Linked DNA regions of Mus musculus. The protein of the gene in region 1 purifies or fractionates together with the protein of each later gene. This does not show direct contact. Links are inferred from orthologs where the notes say so. Each region holds a gene or a part of one and is shown in the gene's direction. Other genes may lie near its edges.

Region 1 (11,308 bases):
TTACCAGTGAAGACTCAGGAGCCAAACACTGTGGTAAAAGCCTGCTCCCTGAGAGAGGCAGAGAAAGGGCCCAGCTGACCTTCCTATGCCTCAAACACCCCGGAAGGAGAAGGTTTCTTTTCTTTCTTCATGCCCTTAAACACATTCCTCCCAACACAGAGTCCCTCCTTTCCGTTACTTACGCTCACTCCCTGTCAGCTGGTTTCTTGCCCTGCCTCTTGACCTAGACTTGACTTTATTTAGCTCTGGGGTTAAAGGAGTCTGTTAGGGCTGAGCTACACTACAACCCGGTGTATCCAATTCACAGTCTTGAGGGTCACAATGGGATCAAATATCCCACACCACTGCAGTTCTTGGCACAGTGTTTGGTCTCAAAAAATACTTGTTGAGTGACTAGAAGAATAGTTTAAGGTTGAGGCTAGCCTAGTCTACATGACGCTCTGTCTCAAAACAACAGCAACAAATAAAAATAAGGGGAAGAAGGAGAAAAAAAGGCAGGAATAGAACGAGGGTAATGTACAAACAGCCTGGAGAGGTGCCTCGGCAGGTAAGATCACTTGCTGGTTTTTTCTAGAGGACCAAAGTTTGATTGTCAGCACTTGTATCTGGAAGTTTCTAACTCCAACTCCAGGAGATCAGATGCCCTCTGCTAGCCTCTGCTGTAACAACCCCCTCCCTCACACACACACACACACACACACACACACACACACACACACAATAATATAACTTGTCAGAGTGCTGTGTGTTGGGTAGGTGGTAGGGCTGTTTTAAAAACTTTTCTAAAGAGGGGTTTCAAATGGTTTTCAAAATAGGAGCTAGTGAGGAGGGAGTATCTCAGATAATACAGACCAGAGCTCCTTTTTAAAAACAGCAATTCTACATTTTAATTTTTGAACAATGATAGTGTTTAAAATATTATTAATTAACTCCCACTTGGATGTTGAGAAGCTGAACATTGTAGACAACTTTAGTCTTCTTGATGAGCTACATCAACAAGTGCAAACCTGTGGGGGTTCTTGTACCACAAACCCAATACACAAAAGGTGAGACGGGTCAGTTTGGGATCTTATCTTGCAGTTTACTGCAAGTTGATGTAGAAGCAAAAAGAGTATCCATGGATAGACATTTTCTGCCGCTGTATGTTGTGAGGGTCACAGTGTACCAGGGAAGGCTGGTACAAGATGGCTTATCTGTCAGCTGGCAGCATGGTCTTGGGACCCAGGCATCTCCAGGTGAGCAATGGGGCAGAACTGTCATGGGAAGAGAGTACAACAGTCAGTGCTTCCAGGCATAGCCAATATTTGACATGGTGACATGCCAGTCTTTGCTAACTATGAAGCTCAGGCTCCACGATGGAGCAATGAAGTTTGAAGAGGGAATCTCCTAATGTTTTAGGTGAGTTTATAGTTCTGTGTTGGAAACTATCCTCAGCTATCTGGCTGCCTTCATGCATTGGTCATGCACAGGATGCTGCTTCGAGTTCCAGGCCAGACTGAGGCTCAAGGTTCTGTTCTTGCTGTGTTCAATGCTGAGGACGTGGCTTACTTCTTGTTCTTTCAGGGTCTCATAGGAACCAAATCCTATACAATGTGCTCTGTTTGATGTGTGAACCTGCTCTTCTTTGACAGTCACTGGATCCCAGGAAGCAGAGCATATTCTACTTTAGTTTGAAGAACGATCCATTTGACATAATCTCCACTGTGCTGTTTTTTGTTTTTGTTTGTTTCTTTTTGTTTTTTAAATCAGAGCCCTTACATTTTAACTTTCTCTCCTATGTAGCAAGATAATAGAGAGATGTTTCGAAGTGTGCGACACATGATCTATGACCTTATTGAATGGCGGTCGCAGATCCTTTCTGGAACTCTGCCCCAGGATGAGCTCAAAGAGCTGAAGAAGAAGGTCACAGCCAAAATTGATTATGGAAACAGGTTTGTTTGTGCAAATGGTGATTTCATGCTTAAATTTTCCACAGTAATAGCACAACCCTAGGCCTGGAGGATGGTTCAATTACATTTTATCATAAAACCAAACTTCTAATATCAAAATAATGAAGTGGCTTACATTCTAATCTGGTTTATCCTGTCACCCTTGAAACCTGTAGTCTTTGCTGTGTAAGTGGGGGAGTTGTGAAGCTGGGTTGGGGTAGCCCCTCATTTTTGCTGTTTTGTCCCACCCCTGTTATGATATTCTACTTATAATTTTACTTTCTACTCATAGCATTTGACTCTAGATTATTTCCTGTAGTCCCTTGGTCTGTCAGACTAGACGTTAGAAGTCACCATGAAACTTGTCCCTAGAGTTGACATGCTTGATCTAACAGACAGAGGCACAATCCTCTTAACTTACAATTGAGATGAACTATACGTTGCCTTTTTGAGATGTTTCCATTTATGGGAGACATCCACCCTGGTTTAGTTGAGTGTCTTGAAAGATGGCTCACTCCTGAAAACAGCATGCTCTAATATTAGCTGCTGGGAATGTGACTGTCTTGGTTCTATCTCTGCTATATCAGTAGTTAGGATGAAGTTATGGCCTTTCCCATCTGGTACCCATTTGCTTATTCACATGTTACACTGCAAGAAGCCTTAAAGATGACCTGGTCCTGCATTTTCCTCAGGCCCTATAACCTCAGAAACACCTGGGCAGGTTTCACTATACTCAATCCGGGGACCTGCCCCTTGGGTTCTGAGTTCTGCTGTCTGGTCTAGGTTAAGAGCTCAGTCAGACTGCTGTTTGGGTGGTGGAAAACTTAAGGTGTAGTCTGCACCCTTCCCCATTTTTACACCTGAGGATGTGGAGGTGAGAACAGGGGCTGCCTCCTGCCCATCAGCTCAGAATCTTAGACAAGCCATAGGGCCTTTGTGAATAACTGAATTATTGCATAATTTTGTTTTCTGACAATTCCCCTTTTAATGTATGAAAGTTTCCTAATATCACATTAGGTGTGACTTTTATTTTTACCTCCAAGGCCAGAGACTCCAGATATAGAGTATTAGACACAGCTTTCATGAAACCCATTACAAGACTACCTGCTTTCAAAAGCTACTGACCCAGGCCCACACTCTGATTTCCTGAGGTGGCATCCATCCCCTGAGACTAGTCTTTAATCTTGTTGAGGTGAGACTAACACCTGCACAGAACCAGCTATGTATTGGTTGCAGAGACCAAATGTAGACTGGTTGCTGTGACTGACAGGCTGCATCATATGGTGGCGGCATTGGGCTAAAATGTGAGGAGCAAAGGCATTTATTTATTGATTGATTAATTGATTGATTGATTGTATGCCTCCAAGGCCAGAGATTCCAGATATAGGGCATTAGATACTGATTCAATGAAGCCTGTTTCAAGACTGTGTGTTTACAAAAGCAAACCTTTGGAACTCTGATTTCATTTTGTATTGGAGAAGCCTGTTTTCAAAGTTAGGTTCAGAGACCACCTGCTTAATCTGGCTGCAGGAAACAGCCTAAGTACGTTACGCCATGGAACAATCCTGTTAAGACAGAAAGTGTTTCCAAATGTAATTTACTGCTTTGATAGGAAATACAACCTTATTAAGACAAGTTCACCTGAGGACTGCAGGCCAGGATTCTTCTAAAGCCCCATGCTCTCTGCTTATCCTCCCCCTCCCCCCTTCAGAGAGTGACATAATAATAAATAATAATAATAATAATAATAATAATAATAATAATAAAGAAAAGCATAGAGTGTTTGGTTTTGGGATGGTCTCGTCTCTCAGGGAGCAGTTTGTTGCTCTCATCATTATCACATACGTATTCTTGCTTTTACCTTTTACCTGAGTCGGGTGGGGTTGTGGAGTGTCTAGGGAACTGTGGGAAATATGGTAAAGGTCACGGACTGTTTCTTTACAAAGATGGCTGTGTAAAACACAGAGACAAACATGCATACACCTTTACTCGGATTCACCAGACAGGTCCACAACCATACCTATCCATAGAAACCTGCTTGTACATACACATACACACATAGATACAGACAGACACACACACACGCACACACTCTGATTTCACAGGGAGGTGGCCATCCCCTTCTTTAGACCCTTTGCCATCTCTTGGGACTAGTCTCTAACCTTGTTATGGTGAAGCCAACACTCCACAACAGAACCAACTGTGTATTGGTTGCAGAGACCCATGTAGACTGGTTGCTGTGACTGACAGGCTACCTCATATGGTGATGATGTTGTGGTGAGAATATTGCCACCCCATCTTCTTTCTATCTTTTATCCGAACTACATAACTGACCTCACTGAGCTTCGGTTTTCTGTTTTGTGAAGTGGGTCTGACCAGATTTTCTATCTGGACTGAGGTGACAATGACATCACATGATACTCATGGTGGGCTGGCAAAGGGCCTGATATATATCTTCCTCAAGGTGGCCTCACCAGGTATAGCTTGTCAGGCCTTTAGCCTGGGCCTCCAGGAGCTCACCCACAGCACCTACAATTCATTGACCACGCCCACATCAGAGCTGACCCCACCCATACATCACTGACATCATTCATAAAATGCTGACCCATGGTCTTGGTCTTGAGTCTTAGAGCAGGTTCAGGGTTGGGATGAGTTGGTGAGATTTGAGAGGCTTTGTCCTGTTAGTGAAAGTTGTTACATAGACCTCGATCCTTCAGAGGCTTTCTGCCATCATGTACCCATGGGTCGTATACATGTGAGGGTGCAGAATGGGCTCTAATGACCCGCATCTTCCACAGTTGTTAGTCATGCATACTTCACTTGGACTTTGAAGGTCTATTGGAAGGTGAAGGCTTTATTGAAATATAGGTAACACTGAGTCATTTTCTTTCTCCCAGTGTGACATATTTTGAATTACAGAAAGCCATGCCACAGAATGGCATTCTCTGATATCTGTGGATGGGTCCCAGTTTCTGAGGCATTTCATCTGCTCTGTGGCTGGGCCTGACACTGTGCTAGGGGACCCCCTCTCTTGGTTCATGCTCTCCATGCTCTGGATTCTTGGTATTCTAGAATTCTTGATTTGGACCTGGTGGTGAGGGATGAAGATGGGAACATTTTGGACCCGGAACTAACTAGCACCATCAGTCTCTTCCGAGCACACGAAGTTGCTTCTAAACAAGTGGAGGAGAGACTGCAAGAGGAGAAAGTAGGTTCCATTCCTTAATGTGCACTTTGCCACTTTGCACAGCAGGTGGAAATGGGGCAGGGGGTGGGGTGTGTGGGGGTTCAGGGAGGGGGCACCCCCTCCTTGTATTTCTCACCAACCATGTTGAATATCAGAAAATGTTAAGGAAGTCCAGAATTGACACTAAAAAGAACATTCAAAAAGCAAGTGTCCAGCGTGTTTCAGACAAGGAGGAGTGGGGTAAAGTCAACATAACCTACTAATTCAGCAAGTATTGGCCAGGCGTCTGCCATGTTCCAGGGACTGGGAACATAATGCAGAGTGAGACACAGAGTTCTTGGGGGCATCAATCATTCAGAACCCCAAATTAAAGCTAGCTACCAGTCCAGCAACCGTCATTCCAGTTGTTGATAGACACTCGGAAGGCCCATGCTCTTGCAAACACTAGTCATTAGCTGTGGCTGGATAGGCAGTGTGTTGTCTGAGAGCATGCAGTGGGGACACAGAGTGACTGTATGAGTGGCATGAGATGTGACAGTTGGCAGTGTCTTTTCACTATTCTACAGGGGAAATAAAAGAGCCTTGGTTATAGTCCAGGTTGCTCACATTGACTTTCTACCTTTCTGTTCAGTCTCAAAAGCAGAACATGGATATCAACAGACAAGCCAAGTTTGCAGCCACCCCATCGCTGGCCTTGTTTGTTAACCTCAAAAATGTGGTTTGTAAAATAGGAGAAGATGCTGAAGTTCTCATGTCTCTTTATGACCCCATGGAGTCCAAATTCATCAGGTAGGTGACTTCCCCATTGCGGGTATTTTATCAATTGCTTTTCTCATTGCTGTGATCAAAATACCTGACTAGAAGAATCTGCACTGGGGAGGGTTTATTCTGACTTACAGTCGGAAGATGAGACCCAACATGGTGAGGTCCTGCTTGTGGGAGCTGCTCTCAGCTGAAGGAAATGGGCTGGTTAGTTTGTCAACTTGAACCAAGCTGGAGTCATCTGGGAAGAAGGATCTTTAATTGAGAAACATCCCTCTACCATAATCGTACTATAGGCAAGTCTGTGGGAGCATTTTCTTGATTAATGACTGCTATGGTAGGGTCCAGCCTACTGTGGAAAGATGACCCTGGGTTACTTAAAAAACAAACTGGGCAAGCCAAGAAGAACGAGCTAATAAGCGATGTTCCTCCATGGCCTCTGCGTCAGGGCCTGCCTCTGAGTTCCAGCCCTGACTTCTCTTCAGGCAGGACTGTAGGCAGTACAGGGAGGTGAACACGTTGTTCCCCATGGCTCTTCTGGCCACAAGCCTCACCTTTACTTTTTTGCAAGCGTTTTGTCTAGGAATGCCATCTGTGGCTTTCAACTTTTTGCTGTCTCTCTGAGCTGTTTGGCTAGTTGTGTGTGCCAAGTATTTTCTCTTGTCATACGAAGAGTCATAATAAACATCTGTTGAACAAAACCGTTGGAAACCCATCAGTCTTTAATATAACTTTATCTTTATCCTGATTTAAAAAAAAAATGTGATTAGACTGTGTGAAGTGTGTGCATATCTATATATCAAACTCTCCTGTATTTTCACTTGAAGTATCAAAATTTGAAAATGTAGTGTTTGCAGGAAACAGAGCACGTAGGTGATTTTCACTCTCATTTCTGATAAGTGCTTTCTTTCTTTTTGATGGAGGTACAATTTGTATTTTACGGCTTGCTCGGCTTTTTCCGAAGGCTCTGAATTAAATATACATTGTTCCCAATTCAATACTCGGCTCTGTATTGTTGTCATTCTAAACATTCAGAGAGGCTTTTCACATTATAAATATTGAAATGTCATTTGCGAATACTTGTGTTACACGGGTTAACCCATGGTGTAGAAAGGGAAATGGTTGGTCATACCCTACCTGCCCCGCCAAGAGTTTATCTGTGGCCTAGCTCAGGCTCTGTAAGCTCAGGGGTCAGATGCATAGTGGATCTTCATATTGTTAATTATGAAGTCTTATGGGATACATTGAGTACCCGTCTATGTTTGGGAGTTTAATTTGATCCTGTTTTTTTTTTTTTTTTTCTTTTTTCTTTTTTCTTTTCTTTTTTTTTTTTTTTTTCTTTTTCAAGTGAGAACTATCTGGTCCGCTGGTCAAGTTCAGGATTACCAAAAGATATTGATCGGTTACATAACTTGCGAGCTGTGTTTACGGTGAGTGCACCCATGGCTGTACATGTTGAGTGTCATTGAGTCCTGCTCTGATGGCTGTTTTGGGGACTTCTTAGCACTGAATGATTCCTATGGGGTGGTGGTGGTGCCACCTGGGACACTGGCTAATCCCGGAATCCCTGAGCCCATTGTGAAAATTTCTAAGCTTGCTCTTGACTTAGTACGGCTAGGAGAGAGATTCCTTCCTGTCGCTTGAGCTAGTGTCCAGGTCGCTTAGCTCAGTGTCTGCTGTTACTTTATTCCTTCCTGTCACGTAAGTAACTTTAAAATACCCTAAGCTGGTCTGAGAACAGACTCTTAGTCCATTTTTATCCTTTTCAATTGGACTTGTGTTGAATCATAGTTCTCCACAATGATGTATGAAAATTCATATTTTTAGGATCTGGGGAGCAAAGACTTGAAAAGGGAGAAAATTAGTTTCGTCTGCCAGATTGTCCGTGTCGGTCGCATGGAGCTGAGGGACAGCAACACGAGGAAGCTGACTTCGGGGCTGCGGCGACCTTTCGGCGTGGCTGGTAAATACTCCCATCCCTGTTTTTCCTTGCTAGTTTCAGACCATTCACTTTGAGAAAAGATAGTGGGCCATTTTGATTTATGCCTTTAACTGCTTGGGGGGAAAACAATGTCTTAGTTCTTTTTCGTACAGTTTGGAGTCCACCTGCTGTGTCTAGGATGCTTCAGGTCCATCTGGTTTGAAAGCAGATCCCAGGTTTTACTGAGAGAGACAGTGAGTCACTTTCCCACACTGTGGAGAAGCCAGCACTCGGGAGGCTTGCCGAGTGGTGGACAGGCACAGCCTGGCTCTAAGATGAGGCGCTAAATGAGGGCACAATACAGCTAGCCATGAGCTTGCTGATGTCCACATCTCTACTTGGTGGTGGTGGCTGTACAAGAAAGTAAGATTCTGGTTATTTGTGTCAAGGAACAATAAGTGTCCCCACTAGAGATGACATCTTTCAATGTCAGGCATGTTCTTCATAATGCTGGGAAGCAGTTTTCTTTCTTATAGTTGCAGGGCAATTCTTTCACCAGACTTCTCTGACACTTTATCTCCCCGATCTTCAAGCATCACATTGTTCTAGTTCTATCTTGTTGCTGTCATAAAACACTATGATCAAGAACAACTTAGAGAGGAGAGAGTTTATTTGGCTCACACTTCCAGGTCACAATTCATCCTTGTGGGGAATCAAGGCAGGAACTCATGACAGGAGCTGTAGAGGACTTGCTTGCTGTCTCACCCTCTTGCTTGTTCACGGCTATGCTCAGCTACCTTCCTTCTATGAGTCAGGACCACCTGCCTAGGGAATGGTAACACCCAGAGTGGGCTGGGCTCTTCTACTTCTATTATGAATCAAGACACCCACATAGACATATCCTCAGAGCAACCCGATAAAGAAGACTCTCAACTGAAGCACCATTTTCAGTTGATACTAGGCTGTTTCAAGCTGACAGTGTAGTATATGAGGAGAATTTTGACTCTTGATACCTAGCTGTTATTTCTTGTATGATCAGTGATCAGTGACAGTTTTTTTTTCTTGGCTACCAGAAAGTCAGCACTTAATTTTTACTCAATTAAATAGACTGTTATTTTCAGACAAATTATAGGCTTTGGAAGAATTAGACTGAAAATAAACAGTTCCCATACATTTTACCCCGCGCCAGCTTCCTCCTCATCTGTAGCAGCAGTGAATGTTGCCTTTATGACAGGCCTTCAACGAAAACTGTGACTTCTCTAGGAGAAGTCCATGGTTTATAGGAACATTTGCCGTTGGCATTGTGTATTCTGTCAGGGTGTGTGTGTGTGTGTGTGTGTCTGTGTGTGTCTGTGTGTGTGTGTGTGAATATGGAAGTCAGAGGTCCAAGGTAGGGGTCTTCCTCAATCACTTGTTTGTCTGACACCTTTTTGAGATAAAGTCTCCCACTGAACCTGGCTCTCATTGATCTATCAATTGAGCCCCAGGGGTCTTCTTGCCTTCCTGTTCACCCCAGAGCCCTGTTACAGTCACACACCACCATTCCAGACTTGTCCTTGGGCGCTGAGGTCACAGTCAGGTCCTCATGCTTGTGTCAGGCAACTTTGCCTATTGAGTCATCCTCCTGGCCTCGTTCTGTGGGTTTTGACAAATTTATAATAATGGTTTGTGTCCCTTTCACAGTCACAAACTTGGAGACTTAGGCTGTTGCACCGTTAGGCTGTTGTACTGTTAGGCTCTCCAGTGGGCTGTCCCTGTGTCATTATTATCCATGGTGAGGTGAGATGTTGAGGGTTGGTTTGGTCTGTCAGGTACCCTGGGTAAGCTTGGCATTTCCACCCCCGAGAGTTGAGCACACAGTGTAACTTACTCCTGTTTCCCCAAACCTCTCACATCCTTAGCATGTCCAGCTGAGATACTCAGGATGCTTCAGTGGATTAGAACTTTCCTTTGCTTGCTCCCACCTGCATGGCAGTTTTAGGCAAATACTATTTTTTTTTTCTTTTTCCTTTTTTATCTTGGGTGTTTTATTCTTTTCTGAAGCCATCAGAGAGATCTGTGACATGATAATGTAAGTTTCTTCTTCAGGCCTGGGGACTGCAGGTTCTCTGGGTATTAGATCGTTGCAGAGATCCTGCTGATACGTTCTTTGTGACAGCATTGTTAGGTTTGTGAAAGCAAAGATGAGATCTAGCCGGAGGCGGACAGTCTCTCCCTCTGTAGATTAAAATGGGGATTTTGCCCAGCTTTTCCTGGTTTGGTTGTGATGAAGTTCTGGGAAGTCCTATGTGATGAAGTGTGGGCAGATTGGTGGTCATGGTACCTGCTGATGCTGTGGTACTCTTTTTGTGCCCGTATCATTCTTTTTTCTTTGGTTAGTGGTGTATGGTGTTAACTGACATCTCAGGAGTCATGTTACACGTCAGATTAGGGACAACAGATCTGATAGTTCTCTGACCTTGGAGGTGCCATGTGTGAAGTGAGAGGACATTTGGGCCACTGTCTATCCCTTGCACTTAGATCTCTGGCTGTGAGGACATTGTTGTCCCTCTCCGGCTAAATCTCATCTTTGGTCACTCTGATGTTCACTTGAATCCTTGGTTACCCATTTGGATTGACCTTTGTTCCTTTTGTCTCCTGTCTCCTCTCCCTGGTACTCTGCAGGCTTAGTACTGCTGGATACCAATCACCAGGAGAGAAACTCTAGTCTCTCTGGTCTGTTGCTGCCTGAATTCTTGAGAGATGAGCCTCTTTCTTCCTGCTGTGTGATTGGCTGGTGAGACCCTGTATGCTACAGTGCTGCCCAGTTCCCACATGAGTTGCTGCAGAGGCCCTGGGAGGCCTCTGGTCTTAGGTAGTTGGACCATGGGAGGTCCATTATCATGGCCTCAGAGAGAGAGAGAGATCTCTGCTGCTTTCACAGAAATTCCCCACTGACTCAGGCCTAGTGCAGGCTCCTCCATACTGCCTCCTGGCACCACACTCTGGCCTCTGCAGTCGCCTGAGGACCAGCTTTCTGACTTGATAGCTGGAGTATCTACTTATATTTCTTTTTACTTTCTGCCCCGAGACTGAGGATGAATATTTTATCTTGTGCTTTTATAGTGTAGACTTTTTTCTTTAATTAATTAATTATTCATTCACTTTACATCCCAGTCACAGCCCTCTCCCTTCCTTCTTTCTTCTCAGTCCCACCCTCACACATCCCTCCCCTGGTTATCCCCTTACCTGCTCCTTCCAGAAGGGACCCCCCCCCCCCACTCCTGCCTTGGGTACTACCCCCTTCCTGGGATATCAAGTCATAGCAGGAATTAGCACATTTTCTCCCACTGAGCCCTGACCAGGCAGTCCAGCTAGGGGAAGGGGATGCAGTGGCAGGCCACAGAGTCTGATCTGAGACAGCCCCCATCCTAATTTTTAGTAGACCCTCATGAAGACCAAGCTGCACATCTGTTACAAATGTGTAAGGGGCCTAGGTCCAGCCCCTGCATGATTTTGGTGGGTAGTTTA
Region 2 (3,600 bases), on another chromosome or scaffold:
GGAAGGAAGGAAGGAAGGAAGGAAGGAAGGAAGAATGAGGTGGTTGGCGAGGTGGGGAGCCTTTTGGAGGAGTTTGGAAGGGGAAAGCATGATTGGGATATATTGTATGAAAACAAATGTTAATAAAAAGATCTGGTGAAATTAGTTTTAACCACATACTCATATCCTAGCCTGATATACTGTCCGATTGATTTATTATATAGGAACTGTAAAACTATTATTTATCGAAATGATAAAATCTATATAAAACAATGAAACTATTTCATTTTTTTTTCATGCTAAATCCCTAATGACTGCTAATGGTCAGTTATCACACAGTTTATATTTAAATATTCTGGTGATTAATCGAAAGGAAGCATTGCTTTCTCCCTTAGATTCTGATATCTTCTATGGTGTTGCCCCTAAGTCCTCGTCTTTTCTAGAGATAGGCTATGCACAGCATCTCCCTGCCCTCTCCAGGTGCTCCAGCACAGAATTCTGAATTCGGAGAAGACAGAAGTTTCTCCTGAACTTTCCAACTGTCATTTCTCTCCTGCCTGCTAGGTTGGGAGTTAACTGTATTTGATTTCTGTTTTAAAAATTAGTGGAGTACGTTGCATGACTCCAACAATAATACAATAACCACAGATCACAAATTCAGGGTAGAACATGTTGCTTCATGCCAGGGTATACCACACAAGGAAGTCTTTGGCTTCATTGAAGAAAATCTTGCAGTTTAGACTAGAGTAAATTCGTAGGTGGTGGAGGAGAAGGAAATGGCCTGTTATTTTTGCCATGCTTCCCGGGAGATATATACAGCAGGTTCTTAGAGGACTTATTTTAAAGCAGCCCACCAAAGTTTCCCCTTTGGTGGAAAATCTCAAATAAGGTGTCCAAAATGAAACCTTAAAAAGGGAACAGGAGCTCTCTGTGCTCCAGAGGTGGCGCTGCGAGGGTGACGGAGTTAATTAGTGCCTGCAAAACGCGGTTTCTGAGCTCATCAGAGAAGTCATGCTCATCCCACACTATTTATAACAGAGATGAAGTGTGCATACTGTGTGACATTTCCCTCTTTTTAAGTAGGGGACTCCAAAAAAGTCGTGGGCACCCAGTCCTAGGCACTGTGCAGGGGGGCGGGCAGCAGTGCGGGGGCGGGCAGCAAACGCGCCAACAAACGCGTGTCCGCGCGCAGGTGCCGGGGGCGGCGGCGGCAACTCCGCATCGGCTGCCCAGAGTTCGCGGCAGCTCGCGGGATGCTCCTAGATGCAAGATGTGTCTCTGGCCAGCAGGAGGAAGGAAGAGGAAGTGAGAGCAGCGGCAGCCGGCGGCAGCGGCCAGCGACCCGAGTCTAAGTGCGTGCGTTCGGGCAGCGGCAGCGGGCGAGGATGGGCACGAGATAGAGGCAGAGCCACCGCCGTCCGCGCCTCCGAGAGCGGCGACAGAGCCTCGGGCACCGGTCTACGTCTCCTGCCCCGGCGCTCCGGCCTCTGGGAACCCTCGTTGCGGCGTCCTGAGACCCCGGGCAGGTTTGTAAAGTTTGCTGGGCTGGCGCGGCGCCCGACTCGCTGACCTCGGCGGCCCGGGCGGGGGCCAGGGCAAGACGAGGGCGCCGCGGAGGCACTTTTGTTTCCTCCCGGGGCCCCGCGGCGCGGGCGGGTGGGGGCTGCGGGCGCCCTGCAGTTGGGAGGTCTGGGCAAAGGGGCGTCCCGAGTGACTAGAGGTACGGGGTGGGGAAAAGCGGACACCGGGGGCAGCGCCGGGATGGGGCTCAGTGCAAGGACCCGTGGAAACGGCCGGGGCAGAGTCGGCTGGAGGGGGCGCGGGCGGGCTGCGCCACCGGCGTAGGGGTGCTGGGACCTGGCAGAGTGCTCCTGGGACCTTGCGGCCAGCAGTCGTGGGGCTGGAGAGTCAGGAAGCGGCTCCGAGTTTACCAGCGAGGACACCGGGGCTCTCGTGTGTCGCAGACGGGAGGGGATCCCCGGAGAGCGCGCTCCCGAGATGGGGCGGGATGAGCTGCGGGGACCCCTGAAGGCGTTCGCTAAGGAAGACCCGCCTCCCGGGGCCGTGCGGGGCTTCCCTCTGGGCGGCTGGGTCTTCGATAGAGAGAGGCTAGCGTGGGAGGGGGCGTACCGCGCGTCTTCCCGGGAGAGCGGCGGGCATGGGGCGCCAGGGAGGGAGCGAGCGAGCTGCGCGCCGCGGTAGCCCCGCGGCTTAGAGGAAGAGGAAACCCAGAACTCAGCCCGCCGCGGTGCGCTTGTGTGGGGTTGGGAAGTCTGTGCTGTGCTGAGGGCGCGCGCCAGGCTTATATTTGTGTGTGTGTGTGTGTGTGTGTGTGTGTGTGTGTGTGTGTGCTGGCGCGCGTCATTGCGGTGGGGGCGCTCTCCTATTGACCCCTCGGGGCTTGGGGCTCTCGTCCACTGACTCTTCTGCCTGGGGCCCTTTGAACTAGGCAGCTGGGGCAAGGGTTGTTGGACTTGGATTGACCCGACGCTGCAGAGTTTGGCCTCAAGCAGGGACAGCTCCGAGGGCCTCTGGACAGCTCCCGAGGCGCTTTGAGCTCAAGGAAATGCACCCAGGGACTGTGGACCTCCTGCCTCTGGCCAGTAAGGACAACCTAAGATACAGAAAGAAAATTGTGTCTTGAGGGAAACCAGGGAAGAATTTCAGATTTTTTAAAAATTTTATGTACAAAATAAAAATAACTATCGTTTACATACTAAAAATCTTCGAGAGCAACTTGAGACTGGAAAATCCAGTTTACTTGCAATAATCGTTAGATTGGGAAAGCAGGCAGTAAATCCGGTCCACTAAAGGCTTCTGGTTATGGTCTTCACGTGTCTCACCTCTTCAGTAGCGGCCAAGGTCATTTCAAGGATTACTGGTTTCACTCTCTCAATTTGCAGGAGTGGGGATCGAACCTGGTCACTTGAAGGCTCGTAACACAGATTCCATACTTTTATTTTCTTGCCTGCCCTCACTCCCTCCTTCTTCCTTTCTCTCCCTCCCTTGCCCTCCCCTCTTTCTTCTTAGCTGACCCTTTGATCTTCTACTTGTCACTATGCTCCATTTGCTATCCTTCAGCATTGTAGTTAAGCGTGTACATGGCCTTTCTGACTGTATTTGCTACTTGATTCTTGTTAAGTTAGATGGTGTTATGATAAACTGACAGAATGACCTCAATTGTGGGGCCTCATGGTGAGGAAGTAGGGTAAGCTGGAGAAAGTTGGGGAACAGGAAGCTTGGGGACACCATAGTCTGTGGAAACTCAGTGCCTGAACAGTCACTGGGCCAGAGATTAGGTGGTCACATGGTGGATGACCATACCCACCACAGCAATAGGCTCTTGTTAACTGCGGCAATTTTGACTTCCTTACATTTTTTTTCATGTTTACTGCTTTGTCACCCCAGGACCTTTGCACATGCTGTTCTTCTGCCCGAGGTGCTCTCCTCACATGTTCAGATGACTCATCCTTTGCCTCCACTAGTTCTCAGTTTAAAAGGCCTTGGTGGCCTGGGTCTTCTTAGGTTACCAGTCTCCCTCTCAGTATTTCTTTACTAGTTGGCATTATTTATTCATTTATTCATCTGCTTATCTTATCGTCGTCTCTCCCATTAGGATGG
Region 3 (10,815 bases), on another chromosome or scaffold:
CCGTATGTATTGTGACACTGTGGGTACAGAGGAGGGTGAGGCATTCTGTCTAAGGGAGTCATTCTTAGCAAGGCAAAGGTGACTTGCGGAAAGCAGAGAAGTGGACTCTTCCCAGGTTGACTAAGCTGTAACTGAGGGTGAGGTCAGGCTGGTGTGGGAAGCTGAAGTTCTCTGGGTATAGCAGGCAGACGGTTTCCATGTATAAGGACTGAGTGAGAAAGGAGGAAGACAAGACTCCTGCTAAGATACCAGGTTCCAGCATGGACAGTCAGGTGGATTGCCAGTGGCGCCAGGAAACAGCCCTGGCCCCATCTGTGGAAGAGCACCCTCCTCATCTGCTAGCTCCTGGTGTCACAGTTGTGATTGTCCTTTGTTGTTGGTTTGGTTTTTGAGTTATGCTCTGTATAGTCCTGGCTATCCTAAAACTTGCTCTATAGATCAGAGTGGCCTCAAACCCAGAGAGTCACCTCCCTCTACCTTCTGAGTACTGGGCCTGAGTCACCACTCCCTGGTGCAGTTTTGATTTTCAGAGGGTTTCCTTTGTTAAGATGACTGTTAGATATCTGGCCCTTCAGCCAGAAGTCACTAGAAAACTACTTACAATTAGCCAGAATAGGGTGAGTTGCTTTTTGCCATGAGGGAACCCACTGGAGTTTTATTATGCGATGTGGGTGTGTGGAACTCAGAAGGGGTTTGCTCTGGCTCAGTGCTGTCTCAGCCTTGCATTTTAGGGAGTCCTGCCTAGAAGGAGGTAGGGTGTAGTGGGCTGAAGCTGCTATACAGGAAAATCCACTTCCTTGTATTCTCTGCCTCATGAAGTGACGTTGGCTTTAGGACATGATCGTGTAGTCTTTTTTTCATCAACACAGTCCCGTGGAGGCCTGAGAGCTTGTGAGCCTTTATAGGAACATCTATCTGCACTCCAGTGTAGCTGTCAGCATCAGGCCAGCTGCCTGCCTTTTTCCAGGGTGGCTTTTCTGGGGAACACTTGTCCAGCTTTTTACAATTCTTCTTTTCTCTGTTGTGTGTGCAAGCCCTGGTCCTTTTCCCTGTTGTGTGGAATCTGTATATTAAAAAAAACAAACAAAAAAAACGAGAAGTCAGGCGTGGTGGTGCACGCCTTTAATCCATGCACTCGGGAGGCAGAGGCAGGCAGATTTCTGAGTTCGAGGCCAGCCTGGTCTACACAGAGAAACCCTGCCTCAAAAGAAAAGAAAGAAAAGGAAAGGAAAGGAAAGGAAAGGAAAGGAAAGGAAAGGAGAAATCCACGTGTGAGCCTCAAGTCCAGATACTCTGTGTGTGTGTGTGTGTGTGTGTGTGTGTGTGTGTGTTGTGTCTGGTGGTGAGTGCTCCAGCGCCTCTTGTCCTGCCCTTTTTCATTGTAAAAGCTGCCTCCCACTGGGGACAGGTGGCAGGTGGGACCACTCGAGCTGTAGTTGGTATATGCTTCTGTGTGTGTTTGCATCTGGGTATGACAGAGACCACCTTCAGGTGTTGTCCCTCAAGACACACCTTGCTTTTTAAGTCCCAGTATCTTGCTGGGACTCAGGGCTTACCCCAGGGTTCCTCATGCCTGCCCTGCAAGCATGTCCCTAAGTGAACGCTCTTCAGCCCTTGCTGTACTTTTGACTGCTGAGGAGTTGACGTGGGACGTGGCTGGTGACGTGGGAGCTAAAGTTACTGGAGACTCTCATTAAAGGCTGGCGTCACAAAGGTCCTGGTGATCTAGGAAAGTAGTAGTCAGGCCCTCAGGAAAGATGGTCGCCACCGAGAGGGAGGGGACAGGGAGGAGCAGAGACACAGCACAGCCCCTTTGCCCTGGTACAGGAACAAGGGGTTAACCCTAGGAGAAAGCATCAGATGCCGACTAATGTCATACAGTTGTGTTTAGGCCAAAGTTGGGGGTGAAAAGGGAAGAGAGCAGGAGGCTGATGGCATAATGCACACGTGAGTTAGGGTGGCGCTGTGGTCCAGCTGTGCATCTCTGCTCCATCGGGAAGGTACTAAAGGACTGTGGAGTGGAGTGGAGGGGCTGGAGGGTGCTCCAGCAATATTGGAGCCATCCTGAAGACTGTCACAACATGAAACACTGGATTGATGGTTTTGTTTTGTTGGTGGGGTCTATTGTGTCAAGCCCTTAGGACACCCTTAGAAATAGCCCACAGATGAAACCAGGAGTCTGGAGATTGTTACTCTTTGATTGTAAATACAAGCTTGAGTGAGGTAAAATTAAAATCATACTGCGCTTGTTTTTTATTAGAATTTCTGGGGTTTCATATTGGGAAATTGTCAATTTTTACTGAGTATAGAAACAAAAGGAAAGTATTATGATGAAAATGGAAAAGGTTGTCACCTACAGAGTTCCTTAGCAACCCCCCCAAGGGACCTTAGTTCATTTCAAGAACTTACTCCAGTCTGAAGCCACTCTTCCCTCCCAGAGCGGGGCTAGGAGGCCGCCAGCCTGGATCCCTTAGGCTCTGTTCTGGAAAGCTTCGCTGTGCCTACAGGCAGGCGTCTCCCCCGACTCTGAGGTTCTCTTGGCTTATCTCTGAGAAGGTGGAGTTCTCTGAAGACCTTGTCAGTACTGCATGCCGGCAACAGGCCACTTTCTGAACGCTGAGCTCTGTGAGTGTGTTACATTCTGTCAAGTGCGGGAGTGACGTGGTGGCAGGCCCAGCCTTCCCGTGACTTCCTTACTGAACCGCAGGGGTGGGTAGCTCCTCAGCTCCAGCTGCATGGAGTAATGATGTGTGGCTCTCAGCTTCCAAGGTGACCTACATGAATGCACAGCTTTGGATTCCTCAGGAGGGCTGAGACAAACGTGTGTGGAAACTAACAGGTTATATTGATTTTGTATTTCTTAGTTTATATCGAACTCAAGCAAAGTTCTCCTGCATTACTAGGTTGGAGACACATGTGGTAAAGATAGACCCTCCAGGGGCAAAGACAAGCCGATTGCCGTATGTAAGACTTTGAGTCGACCTCAGCCTCCAGCTTTGTCTCTTCTCTTATCTCACTGAGTCTCCAGGAAGAGCTGAGCCTCAGCTCCCTGAGTGTTTCCTCCGACTCACTCAGGAGAGGCTGCTCTTGATAAAATGAGCTTCCTCTGGCCTGTGACTTCACTCCCAGTGGGTTATAAAGTGGCCGATGAGCTGCTTGCTCCCGTCCTCCCATGTGAAAGGAGGGGTGTCCGGAAGCCCCTCTCTGGGACGGTTGGAGGTGCAGGTGTGGAGGGTCCACTGGTGCTCATGTGGGTGCTTTCTCGCTCACCCAGACTAACCACTCCCAGGGCCTCTTCTCTGACTCTGGTGTTCTGTGTGGTGGGCTGTGGGGGCTGCGCAGCGCTGGTGAGCTAACCCAACTGTGCTTTGAGAGGGTGTGGAATCAACTTGGATGCTTGGGAGGCCCTGGTGATTCTCTGATAGGCTTGTGCATGCGCCAGCATTGAAGTAAACCATTGTTTATAAAAAGCTGTTGTGTGGGACATTTCTTTCCTTTTCAGGTACAAGATACCAGCTGGATAGTTGAAGGTGCTAGCTTGGGAACTGTATACATTTCACAAATAGCATAGTTGCCTTTTCTAGGGCTATGTCTTGATAAGCCTAACATTTTAGAAACTCTTGGGCATAATTTTATACAGGTAAATATCTGAATTTTACTTTATGTGTAATAACAGGAAGAAACCTCAGATATTTTCTATTGAGCCGGCAGTTTCTCCTGACGTAAGATTCTTGCCCTGCTTGTCCTTGCTTTCTTTGGGGCCACAGATACACTGGGGCAGCTTTTCCAGAGGCCCTTGACTCTGCTTGGGAAGATGGTGCAGTAGTTGGTGCTTGTCTACTGGGAGATGGCACACTGAGTCCCCTCCCTGGCTGGAAGGCTGGGGAGCAAACTCTTGAACTCCATTTTGTGCCAAGGACAGTGACAAGCTGGCTGATGGACGCTCGAGATGTCAGGAGCCTTGAGCTTACGGTGCATGTGGGGAGCTTAATGAAAAGCGTGCCTTGTTGGAGGATGTGTTTAAATCGACTCTGCATTCATGAGCCTCAGAGAGACCATGGTTTTCAGAAGAATTTGTGTTGATAGCAGATAATTAGGTTTCCAGTTGGGCGTGATTAGCAAGCGGCCTCCTGGGAATGTGATTTGATCCCTCCCTAGCATCAAACAGCTTCCAGCAGTTTCTTCTTCCATGTCCCCTTTTTCAAAAGGCAGGCCTGGTAATGGTTTTGAGTCTCTGGCCGACTGGAGAGGTAGGTGGGAGCAGCGAGGACCTAGTTGCAGGTAGCAGTAGGCACGCAGTGCCTCTCTCTGACAGTGCTTCGCTAGCTATCGGCGTGAGGCAGAGTGCTCCCACAGTCCAAGACTGCCCTCTACATTGCCTGTGTTTCCTTTCTGTAGGACGTGTTCTTAATTTGCTTTTCCCTTGTGAGTCCTGCATCATTTGAAAATGTCCGTGCAAAGGTAAGTGGGACTTATGGGAAGATTGCTGCATACTGTCAGTCCTAGCAAGAATAATAAACAGTTCAATGAATGCCGTTGGCTGCTGGGAGCTTGGGGTGTTTAGCTTGGCTTTAGTAGCTCTGTGGGCCATTTTTAAGTCTCTGACTTTGGGGGATGGGTCTCTGGAGCTTCATTGGGACGGTCCCCACTGCAGTGACAAGTATTTCAGAAGTGGTCTGGTGACCATTTCTTTCTGCTCCAGCATCTGGAACCAATCTAGTGAGAAGGGGTGAGGGACGCTGGTGGTGTAGAGATTGGGACCCACCATGCTGGGGATAATGGTCCCTGAGTGGATGGTGAGTTTTCTAGGGTGATCCTATAGATTGGGGGTACATTCCCTCATCTTCCTTCCTTGGTCCTTTACAGGTAGTCTGTTGTGTTGCCCTGTCTTGGGAGCCTGGCGAGCCATTGTATGTGTGGTTAAGGCTTCAGGAAAAGGCAGGGACGCTCTGGGGCCAGCTGTGGCTGGAGGGCTGGTGCTCACTGTGTTTACATAAGCTGCATGAAGGAAGGAAGGATGGCAGAGAGAAGAGGGGAGGGGCTTCACCTTGTTTCTTTCTTCACGTGTAGTGGTATCCTGAAGTGCGACACCACTGTCCCAATACTCCTATCATCCTCGTGGGGACGAAGCTTGATCTTAGGGATGATAAGGACACCATTGAGAAGCTGAAGGAGAAGAAGCTGACTCCCATCACCTACCCGCAGGGGCTGGCCATGGCGAAAGAGATCGGTATGAAACCCTCATTTCTTGTGTCTGCCTTGCAGTCCTGGTGCCAGGCAGCTGGAGTCCACCTGAGAGAGGGAAGTTTCTCCTTCTTGGGGTCTCTTTGCTTTGGGCAACCAGCCAGGCCAGGCCTTTGTTGGTGTGGGAGTTGACTGCTGGGCCACGCCATGCTGACTCAGGGGCTGTCCTGCGGAACATCTGTCATTGCCTGTGGCTGTCTTTTCTAGGTGCTGTCAAATACCTGGAGTGCTCAGCTCTCACACAGCGAGGACTCAAGACAGTGTTTGACGAAGCTATCCGAGCGGTTCTCTGTCCCCCTCCTGTCAAGAAGAGGAAGAGAAAATGCCTGCTGTTGTAAATGTCGGAGCCCCTCGTTCTCGGTCCTGCCTGGAACCTTTGTACGCTTTGCTCAAAAATCAGCGAGCCTTCGCATTTGATGCCAAGTTTTTGTTACAGATTAATTTTTCCATAAAACCATTTTGAACCAATGAACCAGTCAATAATTTTAAGGTTCTGTTTTAAATGTAAGAATTCCAACTTACAGTCTATTAAAATTCAGCCCTAAAATGACAAAGCCTTCTTAAAGCCTTATTTTTAAAATCCCCCATTCTTGCTCAGATTAAAAATTGCCAAAATACCTTCTGAACTAAGTTGCGTTGTGCTGAGAACACCTAAGCACTAAACTCTCTTGAGAGACTTCTGTTGCTAAGAAGACCGCAGCTTCTGGAGCCAGGGGTGCAGACCCTTCCAGAGTTCCCAGACCGTGTGACACAGCACAGCCTCCTTAATGACACGTTGCCATGTAACGCACCTGTAACTTATCAGCCCATGTTCATTACGTAACTTTGTACTGTACGTCACAGTGATGAGTGTGACAGCTCAGCTCTTTGATTTCATAGTGAGTTTTCTAAAAGACCAGCCGACTAGCTTTTGCAGACTTTGAACAGAACTCTGGTTCCTGTGTTGCCTCTAATGAAGTATTCTGTTCCTAGTTGTGGGTGTGCTGGGTGGAGTGTGAAACACGACATGATCAAAGGAGACAGACAGTATTTTGACTAATATGAAGTAGAGATTACTTTACACTACATTGTACATGGAGTAATTCAACTGAATAAAAGTGTCACGGGTAAAGCTTTTTAACGGTTAATTTCTGTCAAACAGTAGGTGACAAATGGCCGATCTTATCAGTGTCTCTTGAGCATCCCTTCGCGCCCCCCACCCTCCACTGCCGTCCCTCCCCAGATGGGGCGTTGAGTCCATATTTAAACTGGCCACCCTCACAGTTCTAACTTAGCAAGTGCTTTTCTTTAGAACCCCTTCTTAACGAGCAATATGTCTGACCTGTACTATAAGATCTTTCTGATAACGCAGAGATTTTTTGTTTTTTTTTGGTAGCTCAGTAGAAGTGCGTCCTGTTTTCGCCTTACTTTACTCAGAGCTAGTTAGTGCTTCCTTAGTTTCCTAGCAACTAGGTGTGCAAATCATGTGTTGCAGCTTTACGGTTTTTAAACTATTTTAGATATTCTTAAACTATGAACCTTCTAAACAGTACCAACACTGTCATGTGACTAATGCTGCCTCTAGACCTCGCCCACGTGGACAGACGCTTCCTGTCATGGCTCTGCCTAGAGATGTTCCTTGGGGTCTGTGAGGTTCTGTCAACTGCTAGTGCTAACGCTGTCCTGTACAACCTAACTCACTGGCAAGAATGCAGTGTTGGGCCTTTCAACCACTAGAACAAACTTTTTTCAATTGACAGTTGCAGAATTGTGGAGTGTTTTTACATTGATCTTTTGCTAATGCAGTTAGCAGTATGTTTTGCATGTATGAATTAATAAATCCTTGAATCATACAACTGGTTATGCTTGTGTTTTTGGAATTTGACAAGCTCTTGGCGTGTTTGCTCTACTTTTAAACCCTGGATCACTGGAGGGATGGAGTCCCACCTTCAGAGAATAGGGTAGGTGAGCCCACAGCCACATTTGTGGAGTGGGGCTGGTTTGAGCCGTTGTTAAGCCGTCGTGAGGTGCTTGTGTGGGGCTCCCCACAGTGGGGTATGTCTGCCTGAGCCGTGTGTCTGGGAGGTGTGCCAGGGCTGAGTGCTGCAGATGGGGAAGCTGAGCCACGGGGCTTAGCATGGACCACATCTCAACCAGTTAGACGGCCATTAGGATTAGCCCTCATTGGTGATTCTTAAACTTTGAATCTTTAAATAAAAATTACATGTGTGTGCACGCACATTTCTCTGTGGGATATAGATCAGGCTGGCCTCAAACTCCCTCGTGCTGGGATTAAAATTTGTACCATTTCCCAGTCTAAATCCTGACGTGCACCTTCACCACGACGGTCAGCCGTGGCTCTTGGTCCACTGAGGGAGCCTCTTAACCGCTCTCCAGCAGATTCGAACCCAAGTCCTCACACGTGCGACACTAGCCAAGCCATCCTGGCTGCCTTGTTGACCTGACCATCAAGTCTTTATACCCATCATAGCTCCAGGGCATACATGAGATGACAGTTGTGTCTCTGAGGGCTTTCACCTTAAATCCAGGGTCCTGGATTTCCCCTCAGATTTCTGACCGCCATCATTTGTGTGGTTATTCTGGCTGGCCTAGAACTCACTTTGGAACAGGCTGTGCATGAGCTGGCAGAGAATGGTCTGCCCCTGCTCTGAATGCTGGGATAACAATGCGCCCCCTACAGGTATACTTAGTATCCTACAGGGTTTCCCTTCAGGCTTACTTGCCCCCCTTTGGAGATTTGTTTGGAGACAACATCTCGTGTAGCAAAAGATGGCTTGGATCCTTTAAAGTTGTGACCTCCAGTGTCTGGTCCTCCTGCCCACATCTAAGTGGTGAAGATAACAGGCCCAAGCCACCACCATACTTTTTTGTTGTTTTCTGGATTTTTTTTTTATTTTTAATTGTGTTCTGTGCTTGTTGGATTCCGTAATGTATGTAGTTCTTAGTAACCAGAGAGACAAGGCAACTTGATTTAGAATGGAAAGGTGAAACCTCATCACCCCTGGGTACAGTAGTCCATGCTTGTAATCCCAGTGTCCTGACTGACACGGGGAAATGGCACACTGGAACTCAGCAAGTTCCTGGCTCTCAGGAATCCCACACCTTCCTTGCAGGCTTTTGATGGTATACCAACTACTTTATTTATTTATTTAAATTCCCCTGAGCCTACCACCTGGCTCAGAGGTCTGATAATGTGAGAATTAAGCATACATAAGAGTTAGTGATCAGCTAGCTCATGTATCCATGAGGGAGGGGCTGCAGTGCCAGCTCAGAGGACACTCAGGCTGTCCTAGTGACCCCGGAAAGACGCAGGCAAGTATAAAGTGCTCATCTGTTGTCTTAAAGTTCAGACTCGTGTAAACAGCAGGATGGGAGCCCATCAGGAGCAGGGGCCTTGCAGACCCACTAAGGGTCTTCAGATGTAGACTTCTTAGGTGGCTTATGCCATGGGCTGGCCTACAAGTCCCAACACCTATGCGTGTTCCCAACTCCGGATCCTGTTAATACTATGGTTAAAAGTGGTTCCATAGGCCAGGCAGTGGTGGCCCATGCCGTTAGTCCCAACACTCAGAGGCAGAGGCAGGCAAATCTGAGTTTTGAGGCCAGCCTGGTCTACAGGGTGAGTCCAGGACAGCCAGCGCCACACAGAGGAACCCGGTCTTGAAAAATCAAAACAAGCAAAAAAAAAAAAAAAAAGAAAGAAAGAAAGAAAAGGTTGTATAAATTGTATGGTCATTTTGGTGTCCATTTCTGCAGGGACCCCTCAGGTAACTGTTGATAGACAGATACCACCATACCAGCCTCACAGAAGCCACGCACAGTCAATCAGTCTTAAGAAAAAAACAAAAGCAACAACAAAAAAACCTCCTGAAACTGCCAGTCCGTTGTACCGGTCAGGGTCCAGTAGAGCTGACTACGGTACACTTGAGCCGCCTTGCCCTGGGCAGGAGACGCAGGCTGTCCTGTCGGCAAGCACTCTGTCCAGGGCCCGAATCATGACGTCAGGCATGTGGTCAATCAGCATCTTTGGGCCTATCAGGATCTTACTGAATTCTGCTTCGTGTGCCCACCTCGCTCTGTACTGGGCAGCAGAACAGCAGCCAAACCTCGAACAGAAGAGAATATCCATTAGTGAGGCTCCACATGGGGCAGATCTGAGTCGCCCTCAGTGGGTGGGCGTGACTCGAGGGTCACCATACTCACCTCCCTGAACCACCCTCCTCTTCCAGGTGGATGATCCTGCCAGGTGGGTACAGAGTGGGGTACTTGGTGGGGGAGTCCAGTGGGGAGTCGCTGGAACAGTAGCCCGGGGAGTATCGGGTTAGAAGTGTCTGCTCTCCAAGAAGAGGCTGAGTCAGGGCCCCCTGGGTGCCCTCATCCAGTTCAGTTGGAAAGTTATCAGGGCTTCCTCCGAACAGTCCGTACCAACAGCCATGCAGCAAGATCTTGTACTAAAAGGCGAGATCCAAGGGCTAGGTTGGTCTGGTGCTGGGTGGCAGCCTTCAGGCAGCCCTGTTTTACCACAACCATAGAGCCACCGTACTTGGAGCAATAGCCAAAACCCAAATCGTGACACACACACGTGTGTGTGTGTGTGTATATATATATATATATGTATGTGTGTGTATATGTGTGTGTATATACATATATGTGTATTTACATGTGTGTGTGTGTGTGTGCTAGAGATTGATCCCAAAGCTAAAACGTATACGTACTAAGACTGTATCACTGAGCTAACCCAGGAGATGGGTGCTACTTTCTAAAAAACTATTATCGAGAAAGCCTTGAATTCCATCCTCAGCACCATATACAACCAGGTACGGTAGTGCACACCTGTAATTCTGCACTTGGGAGGTAAAGGCAGAAGTTCATGGTCAACGGCTACACAGTTCAAGGCCAGCCCAGGTTACCTGAGACCCTATCTCAAGCAAAAACAAAAAAGCCAGTGGTGGCCTTTAATCCCAGTACTCAGGAGGCAGGGGGAGATTCGGGACAGCCTAGCGCTACACAGAGAAACCCTGTCTCACAAAAACAAAAACCTTAGATGTCTGGTAAGAAGCGAATATTAAAATTTCTGGTTAGCAACAGCATTTTTTTAAAGGGCAAGAAAATAAAAGCACCTACAGCCCGTGATACACACTTTGGCAGTGGTTTGAATACTGTCAAAACTCCCACGGACACAGATCTAGTCTTTATGAATATTGATCACATTTATTTTATGTGTTTCTGTGGTTGGCATGGCACATGTGTATGGTGAGGGTAGAGGGTCAGAGGACAAACTGTGGGACCTGGCTGTCTCCTCCACCCCCTTGGGTTCCAAGGGCTGTCCTCACACTGGGCTTGGTGCCACATGGCTTACCCACTAGGCTTCCCTCCCTCCTTCCCTTTCTAAAACTACCCAATGGCAATAGAACTAGGGACTCACACATGCTAGGCAACTGGTCTACCACTGAGCCCCAGCCCTGCCCCCTCCTTAGCTTCCTTTTGCTCTGCCTGGCCCGGCCTCACATTTTTGGCAGTCCTACCTCAGTCTCCCAGGTGCTGGGATTATAGGCCAACGCTAACTGTTGC

The links.
Region 2: the proteins of Dock1 (region 1) and Elmo1 purify together in Homo sapiens (affinity purification with western blotting; 12 studies listed by BioGRID and IntAct, counting the BioPlex papers as one, with this or other methods). This does not show direct contact. The link is inferred for Mus musculus from reciprocal best matches to the Homo sapiens genes DOCK1 and ELMO1.
Region 3: the proteins of Dock1 (region 1) and Rac1 purify together in Homo sapiens (pull-down; 6 studies listed by BioGRID and IntAct, with this or other methods). This does not show direct contact. The link is inferred for Mus musculus from reciprocal best matches to the Homo sapiens genes DOCK1 and RAC1.

What each region holds. Positions count from the first base shown.
Region 1 is NC_000073.6:134,739,204-134,750,511, forward strand, and holds part of Dock1 (dedicator of cytokinesis protein 1), read left to right. Parts: intron 1-1,782; coding exon 1,783-1,931; intron 1,932-5,000; coding exon 5,001-5,136; intron 5,137-5,746; coding exon 5,747-5,904; intron 5,905-7,225; coding exon 7,226-7,307; intron 7,308-7,704; coding exon 7,705-7,840; intron 7,841-11,308. UniProt on the Homo sapiens protein: Involved in cytoskeletal rearrangements required for phagocytosis of apoptotic cells and cell motility. Along with DOCK1, mediates CRK/CRKL regulation of epithelial and endothelial cell spreading and migration on type IV collagen.
Region 2 is NC_000079.6:20,089,267-20,092,866, forward strand, and holds the start of Elmo1 (engulfment and cell motility protein 1), read left to right. Parts: upstream 1-1,240; 5' UTR 1,241-1,505; intron 1,506-3,600. UniProt on the Homo sapiens protein: Involved in cytoskeletal rearrangements required for phagocytosis of apoptotic cells and cell motility. Acts in association with DOCK1 and CRK. Was initially proposed to be required in complex with DOCK1 to activate Rac Rho small GTPases.
Region 3 is NC_000071.6:143,501,742-143,512,556, reverse strand, and holds the end of Rac1 (ras-related C3 botulinum toxin substrate 1), read left to right. Parts: intron 1-2,903; coding exon of another isoform or gene 2,904-2,960; intron 2,961-4,398; coding exon 4,399-4,461; intron 4,462-5,070; coding exon 5,071-5,230; intron 5,231-5,451; coding exon 5,452-5,582; 3' UTR 5,583-7,076; downstream 7,077-10,815. Other genes in the region: Daglb (diacylglycerol lipase-beta), read right to left, coding at 9,158-9,350, 9,448-9,695. UniProt on the Homo sapiens protein: Plasma membrane-associated small GTPase which cycles between active GTP-bound and inactive GDP-bound states.